Linked DNA regions of Oryctolagus cuniculus. The protein of the gene in region 1 binds, or shares a complex with, the protein of each later gene. Links are inferred from orthologs where the notes say so. Each region holds a gene or a part of one and is shown on either strand. Other genes may lie near its edges.

Evidence for each region. Proteins that work in one complex are often made in the same cells at the same time.
Region 2: the proteins of LATS2 (region 1) and NF2 are in contact, whole or in part, in a crystal structure (PDB 4ZRI), measured with the Homo sapiens proteins. The link is inferred for Oryctolagus cuniculus from reciprocal best matches to the Homo sapiens genes LATS2 and NF2. Residues at the interface, in NP_055387.2 of Homo sapiens: Tyr73, Ala76, Leu77, Glu79, Ile80, Arg81, Ser83, Leu84, Leu85, Phe87, Ala88, Asn89; in NP_000259.1 of Homo sapiens: Pro135, Glu136, Ala137, Val139, Leu140, Tyr144, Asn175, Leu176, Tyr177, Gln178, Met179, Trp184, Arg187, Trp191, Glu206, Lys209, Ile210.

The regions. Positions count from the first base shown.
Region 1 is NC_091440.1:91,958,809-91,963,029, forward strand, and holds the start of LATS2 (serine/threonine-protein kinase LATS2), read right to left. Parts: upstream 2,884-4,221; 5' UTR 2,677-2,883; coding exon 2,356-2,676; intron 1-2,355. UniProt on the Homo sapiens protein: Negative regulator of YAP1 in the Hippo signaling pathway that plays a pivotal role in organ size control and tumor suppression by restricting proliferation and promoting apoptosis.
Region 2 is NC_091452.1:23,034,915-23,038,559, reverse strand, and holds part of NF2 (merlin), read right to left. Parts: intron 3,439-3,645; coding exon 3,273-3,438; intron 1,936-3,272; coding exon of another isoform or gene 1,900-1,935; exon of another isoform or gene 1,877-1,899; intron 642-1,876; exon of another isoform or gene 624-641; intron 1-623. UniProt on the Homo sapiens protein: Probable regulator of the Hippo/SWH (Sav/Wts/Hpo) signaling pathway, a signaling pathway that plays a pivotal role in tumor suppression by restricting proliferation and promoting apoptosis.

The sequences.
Region 1 (4,221 bases):
CTCCCACTGCACTCCTGGGCCACAGTAGAGAGCTGGCCTGGAAGAGGGGCAACCGGGACAGAATCTGGCGCCCCCGACTGGGACTAGAACCCGGTGTGCTGGCACCACAGGCGGAGGAGACCCATACCTGTTTTAAATGTAAGTTTTACTTTAAGGAAATATCTGAAGAGAAAGATGTTTACAAACACTCAAATCAAATAGACATTTAATAAGTCTTGGTCTGAATCAAATGAAATAAATGCACGTGTGTATACATGCAATCAATAAAACTGCATAAAATGCATGTATCTAAGACCCTGTACGAACAGGGCATTTACGGCCATTCTGATGAAAACCGGCGTTAAAGATAGCACCGAAGCTCAAAGTACAGGAGAACAAAACTGCAACTCAGTTAAAAGGCAACACAATAGGAGACAAAGGGGAAAGATGCTAGGCTAGGATTCTCTTCCCCCAGTATCCTGGCACCTAATAACCTGCTTTATCCAGACATGTGCAGCTCTAGCGGCACAGCTGATCTCTGCTCTCTCTCACAATGACTTTCCTGTGGGAAATTTCTGAAAGCAAATGCACCTTTTATCCAGGGCAGAAGCAGCCAGAGTTGGAGGGAAGGAAGGAGGCGCAGCTGTTGTAGGCGACAAAGCAGCACTCCACACAAAAGACAGAGTCACTTCCGAAGCATAACTGTGGTACATGGAGCTCTCTGTGCTGCCAAGTAACACACGTGAAATGTTGACGGGGCTCAGCAAGGCTTCATTATTTCATGGGCGGTAATTATCGCTGATGGATTTGACCCTACTAAGATGCCACCAACATCACCGTGGACTATTTGCTCAACTTGTTCCTCTTCCTCACGGCTGAAACACAAACGCCAAGGGCATGGGGCTCAATGGCCTCTTTGGTCAGCAAGTAATTTATAGAAGATTTAAAGCTTTGCCATTGGCCTGAACGTCCGGGGTCTCCCAGGCCTGCTCCTTCCCTACTCTTAACACCTGTCCTGCCAGGAGGTGGCACGTGGTCTCGCAGCCAGCACTGTCTGCAGCCTGTGCCTGAGAAAAGCAACTCCAACTAACAACACTCGCAAGTGAATCCTGGCACAGCTCACAGGGCCAAAGAAGCCCCCTGCAAAAGAGCAAGGATGCGTTTCACAAACACATCAATCCCCAGTGAGATGCTATGATGAGAAACTACAATAGGAGGCCTGGGCTTTGTTTTGGAAATAAGAGATGACAGTGCCAGCCTTTTCCCAGGACTGCGATGCCAGCTTCCTTCTGAGGAACTGAATGTGCTCACCCCATCCTGAAGAGCTCTGAGCACAGACTCTTGCTGATTTTCTAAGACAACAGAAAAACTTGGCTTACTTCCCTTTCATACAACTGTGAGTTCTGAGATGAGAGATGGAACTGGCTTTCCTAAGTCATTTCATAACACAATTACATTTTAGCTCCACTTTAGAGAGCCTAGTCCCTTAATCTGGATTCTTTTCAGCTATGTGAATTGCTAAGGGGTACAAATGTAGAGTTATAAATTGTGTATTTATACATTATTGGTGCCACTTCCCCTAATGTACCCCTTTATTCCTAAGCAACAGGGAAATCAGACCATATTTCCATGGCTCCTTCGGCTTTTTCTTTCTCATCTCATGAATGTAATTACATCTCCTGTAACAACATACACAATTTTTTTGAAAACAAGAGAAAACAGGGGCCAGCACTGTGGTGCAGCGGGTTAACGCCCTGGCCAGAAGCGCCAGTATCCCACATGGGCGCCAGTTCAAGACCCATCTGCTCCATGAATGATCTGGCTCTCTGCTGTGGCCTGGGAAAGCAGTGGAACATGGCCCAAGTCATTGGGCCCCTGCACCCATGTGGGAGACCCGGAGGAAGCTCCTGGCTCCTGGCTTCGGATCGGCACAGTTCCGGCCATTGCGGCCAGTTGCGGAATGAACCATCTGATGGAAGTCCTCTCTCTCTCTCTGTGTAACTTTTTCAAATAAATAAATAAATCTTAAAAAAAAAAAAAAAAGAGAGAGAGAGAGAAAAACAGCGTCAGAGAATTGCCAATGCATGTCAATCAAACCTCCCCTTAACTACATAAAAAATACACAAGCCAAAGACAAGACAAAGCCTGCCTCAGAACAACCCCAAATAAATCCCAAAGAAAGGGTGAAGTGTGAAAGCCCTTCTCATCTGCACAAGAATAGAATGGGGGAGGGAGACTTCAGGAGAGCCCAGAAACTTCTGGATCTTGCCTGAAAAGGAAAGGCAGCTAGAAAAGATGTTTTAGGCAGAAGGAACGGAGCAGTTCAAGGGCACACGCACAAACCCCCGGATGAGCAGTCACCAGCTCTGCACCCACCTGGTCACACCCTGCATTCACCAGCTCCTGCAGCATCTGCCGGTTAACTTCCGCCACTGTGGAGGTGCCGGATTCGTTAGCAAAAGGCAACAAGGAGTATCTGATTTCCCGCAGAGCTTTCTGATAAGGTCCAAACTTCGGGGTGGCTCTCTGCTGCTGCCTGGCGGCATCCTTGCTCCCCAGGGAAGCATCACTGTTTGGTCCCACGGGCAACCCCTGAGTGGAAGGCTTGGGCGGCTGCTTCAGCCCCTCGCGGATCTCCTGCAGTCGCTGTCGGCTATTTCCAGAATAAGTCGTGGCAGGAAAAGTCTTTGGCCTCATTGTTAGTCCAGTTTCCTTTTACCATAAATATAATCTTCTTAAAGTGTTTTATTATTTAAAAATAAAACAATAAAAAGCCGTCAATAGCATCAGTCAGTTGTAAACATATTTTCAAGACAACTTCCTTTTGAAAATTTGCTTTCCTTCAACTTTGTAGTTCCTAGAGAGAACCTAAATGTCCCAGAGTCTCCATGGCGAAGTCTCACTCTCTGAAAAACAGAACGGATGGGAGAAACATGTTCATTTGTGGTTTTCACATCATGGCAACGCTATGTTTCACAAAATGAACCCTGATCTTGGAAACACTCCACTTAGAAAAATAAGAAAGAAGCAACTGCACGCCAGATATGACAAAAATGCTGTTCATTTCTGGTTCGAGCACACATGACATCCAGGGCTGTCCCACGGTGTCTCCTGTGATTTGGAGTCTGTGAATAGTAAGCCTCCATCAAGGGCAAGAACAGCAGTATTAACAACTGACAGGTCATTGAAAACAATTCATTATGATATGACCTCATTTTGAAATCCACGGCTTGAGTGGTTCGGCTTAAATGTTCTACAAGGGATCCTGGCTCTCCAGCTTGTTCCTAATCACCAATTCACTGGTCCCTGCCTTAGTCCTTCATCCAGTGCCTCTACTAACCTCTCCACCCATGTAAGGCTGTGGCCCTTATAAAACCCTCCCAGTCTCCCTGAAAGGTGCCACAGAACTTGTCACACTGAAGGTGCTCTCTATTGCAATCAAAAGCACTTTCCACACGACACATTAGGAGACTGTGAAGGTAACACTTCCATGATTTTTTACAAGGTGGCCACTTGCCAGCATTTTGATGTAAACAGTAAAATAAAAATATCTTTCCTGTAGAAACTGAAACAAATGTGGGAAGCCTGTGAGTGATGTCTCTGTCAGAGTCACTGTGACCACATTAACACAAATGACTCTGCCACTCAAAAACTGGGTTGTTAATCCTTGAGGTGTTGGTCTGCAAGTGGCTGGGGCTTCTGGGGTCATGGTGATGACACAGCTCTTGATCTGGCTGCCATTTACAAGTGCCTTTTGTGGGGCCAGCACTGTGGCATACTGTGTAAAGCTGCCGCCTGCAGTGCCAGCATCCCATATGGGTGCCGGTTCGAGCCCTGGCTGCTTCACTTCCGATCCAGCTCTCTGCTGTGGCCTGGGAAAGCAGTAGAAGATGGCCCAAGTCCTTGGGCCCCTGCACCCATGTGGGAGACCTGGAGGAAGTTCCTGGCTCCTGGCTTCAGATCAGCTCAACTCCGGCTGTTGTGGCCAACTGGGGAGTGAACCAGCGAATGGAAGACCTCTCTTTCTCTGCCCCTCCTTCTCTCTCTGTGTAGCTCTTTCAAATAAATAAATTTTTTTAAAAAGTGCCTTTTTGTGAGCATTTTTAGTCTTATAATTTGTGTACTTTTAAACAATATGTGTTAAAACTTGGGGGGAAATGGGCCGGCGCTGTGGTTCACTTGGTTAATCCTCCGCCTGCAGCGCCGGCATCCCACACGGGAGCCAGGTTCTAGTCCCAGCTG
Region 2 (3,645 bases), on another chromosome or scaffold:
GAATAAGCTTCTCACCAGGGTGGGCGTAAACGTGGCCGCACAGCCCATGACACCTCCCTCCTCCCTGGCCACGGGCTGGCCAGCAGCTTGGTTTCGGCCCTCCCTAAGCAACCTGCGACCCCTATTCAGTCCTCACAACAGTCCTGGGGGCAAGGACCATTTTGCAGGTGAAGACACTGGGCCTCAGGAGAGGCTAAGAACTGTGAACTAAGTGACACAGCAGTGGTGACCCTGGCTAACCAGGCCGGACCTGCTCTCGGCATTTCAGAAGGTGGCAGTGACCTTGGTACACCCCTTGAATTAGCTTTCGTGTTATCCACTGCCCAAGTCTAGAAAATGGAACTTGCCTCAAACCTCTTGTGCAGCAAAAAACAGCCGCTATTTAATCTAGTGATGCTGAGAGAACCGCAGTCACATTAAAAGCTAAATCCATGCTTTCATTAACCCTTGATTAACCAGGGTTCTTGATTGATTGGAGCCCAGCAGCCTGCTTTGAGAACAGGTTCACATCAAGACACGAAAATGCATGAATGAGCGAATGCGCCCGTTTACGTCCTAGGAGTAGGAAAAATCTAAGTGAAAATGAAGCGTCCTGTGTCTGTAAGAGCTCAGTGAGAACCGACGGGAGAGCCAGGGCTGTGCTGTAACAGGAAGAAGAAATCGCATTCAGGTGGACAGCGGAGTCGAGGGAAGGGCTGAAACAAAGTGCAGCTTTCTGCCTGGCCCTGCGTTAGCCAAGTGTTCAGCGCTCCAAGGTGGGTCCACCCTGGGGTGTTCTGGGTGTCTCAGGGCTACTGCAGGAGCAGATCCACCCGGCCTCCCCTTCTAAGGCCGCTCATCACGGCCCTGCTCAGAGCCGGGGAACCAACACCAAGGTGGGATTTGGAAGCTGAAGAAACGGGAGCCCACTCAACAGAACGATCACACCAGAGGCAGGGTTCACACCATGGTCCTCGGAACCACTCACAGTGTGAGCCCACCTTGTGGGACCCCACTGCTAACCTCTCTGACTGGCATAACCACCACAAATGGGATTTCTTTCACGTCGGATCTCTTCAGTAGAAAGCTTCCAATGAGCTTGTCCTACCCCCCAAAACCTGAGGTGAGGACTCCCACGGGCGTAGCCCACGTTGCTGTCCGATGGCACTGGGCTTCCTGACATGGCACTGCTGCGGATTATTAGGTGAGAAGCAGGGGGAGGAGGTCACGTTATAACTGGGCAAAAACAGTTCTCTCCACGGCCTAGGGCATATGGGGAGAGGGAGGAGCTGCTGTGGGGAGAAAGTAGGCACCACTCAATTAACTTCCTGCACAGCCACTGCCTGCCCCTCTCCCAGTGTCTGCGACTGCACTGCTCCGGGGGAGTGCCCTGTGGCCACCTCTCGCTCCCTCCTGTGGCAGCACTGTGCTCGGACAGACCCCCGTGCTCGGAAAGGCCTATGTGCACAAACGAGCGTCCATTCTGTGACCAGAGGCTGCCAGGTGTGACCACGGGGTGGCAGAGCTCATCACCACAGGAGAGGCCATGATCTTGAGTGAAAGACCCCATTCTCATGCTAGGGTTATCTGTCTAAGGAATAGGCCACCAAGACACAGGACTTTAAGACAGACCTGACTGGACAAGAAGCCATGACCTTCCCCAGCCCAACAATGTCACCAGATGGACAGGACAACCTACAGCCCCGGGACATGCTCTTCAGAACGAGGCAGCCCTCCGGGGCCCTGGACACCTGCTCTCAGACTCAAAGCATGCTGCGGCCAGTACCCAGGCACACCTGCCCTCAGGAGGGCTTGGCGTGGCCCGGGGACAAAGACAGGCAAGCTCATGCATGGGTTAGTATCACAGAGGGCAGGACCATCACCACACACAGAGTACCTGCAACAGCCTACTTTGAGGGCTCAAATGCAGATAGGTCTTCTGCCTTGGGCTTGAGGCTAAACCAGCAAAATAAAATGAAGAAAAACAAAAACACACCCTGTGATATCGACAATGCCACATTTGCAAAATGCTCAGACAGGCCTGAAATGGTGACCCGTGACTTCGCTGGTTTGCTTTTCTGGCTTGGAGAGGAGTCTCTCTGGGCTCAAGACGACACTCTTCCTGGTGTCCACATGAGCGGGGGCGAGGGGGAGCGGGCAGGGGATGGGGCCCGAGGCAGCCCCTGCCCAAGGCTGACCAGCTTCCTGGCCCACTCATTGTTTTCCCTCTTTGCTTAGTGGCTGGGCTTCCCTTTAGTTCCCCACTTGCTGTTTCGTAACTTCATTTTGGAAGGGAAACCCAGGAAATTAGAGAAGCCAGAAGACAGAGGAATGTGGCATGTGGAAATGCCTTTCCTCCTAGGTTATTCTATTAAAGGAGTTCTCTATCCAGTGCCAATTGTAACTGGAGTCAAGAGACGGAAGGCAGGGCTTCCGTTGTACCCATCTCTCAGAGTTTTTAGATACAGCTTTACCACTACAATCAGATGGAAACCGTTTTAAACATTAACAGAAAGAGTAAAAAATTAACTCTATCAATCATTATTTAAACTCAAGAAACAGCCTCATCTTAATGACACCAATTTTATAGGTGTTACTGTGATCCTGGGCTATCTGTTACCATCAGAGCACCAACTGGCAAGAGATGACTTTTCTGCTTTGCCCGAATAAACCAAGTATACTCTTGAGCTGATAATTAGCATGGAATTTAACTTCTGAGTGTCTAAGATGCCTAAAGCTCAATATACCACTGGAAAAAGATAGGAAATTGTTAGCAACGTAAATGAAGTCTCATTTTTTAAAACACTGCTTCTCCTAGACACTTCCTTTTATGTTTGAAAGAAGTTAAAAATTCAGAATTTGCTTCCTAAATCAAGAACAGAATTTTATAGCCTTTGCCACTTAAAAACACAAAAAGTCTAGCGGGGAGTCTGTTCTCAGCAGCCTCCATTTCATTTTGCTTTCTCATTAAGCAAGGAAGCTCCCTGGGCATAACTCCCTTTGGCTTAAAAGACAGAACCACTTTACTGCTAAGTGATGGATCAAAACCCGTCCTCTAACGGGCATTCATTTCATCAGAGCTTTTAACACAAGCTTCACTTCCATCAAGTCAATGGGTTCATGGTCACTGGCAGATTAAATTCCCTTTCTGGCAGGAGTCGAAAAATTTCCTTAACTAAGGACATATGAAAAATGACAACAGCCTAATGACTCGGCTACTGAGGGACCAGATGCCAACCTCACATTTCATTAATGATTGCCCTGATCAGCAGAAGCCGAGAGACTGCGGGTACCTTCTTGATGGTATTGTGCTTGCTGCTGGTGCCGCCCCGGTCAGAGTTCTCGTTGTGCAGGATGTCCAAAGCCGTCTCCCTCTCTTTGAGCTTCAGGGCCTCGATCTCGGTCTTGAGTTCATTGAGCTGCTCCTGCAGATGCTTGCTCTTTTCCAAGTATTCCACTCTGTGGCAGGAGACATTGTGTTATCATTGCTTGGGCCAACAGTGAGACGGGGCTGAGCTGCTGCTTGGGGTAGGATCCAGGGGTTCACCTCTCTACTTGGCCACTCAAGGGCTGTGGGAGCCAGGCTGGGTGCTTCACTGTGAGGAGTCTATTTCCTCATTGGTCAATTGAGATAACGGTCCTGGGGCTGTGGTCAAGACTTAGAGA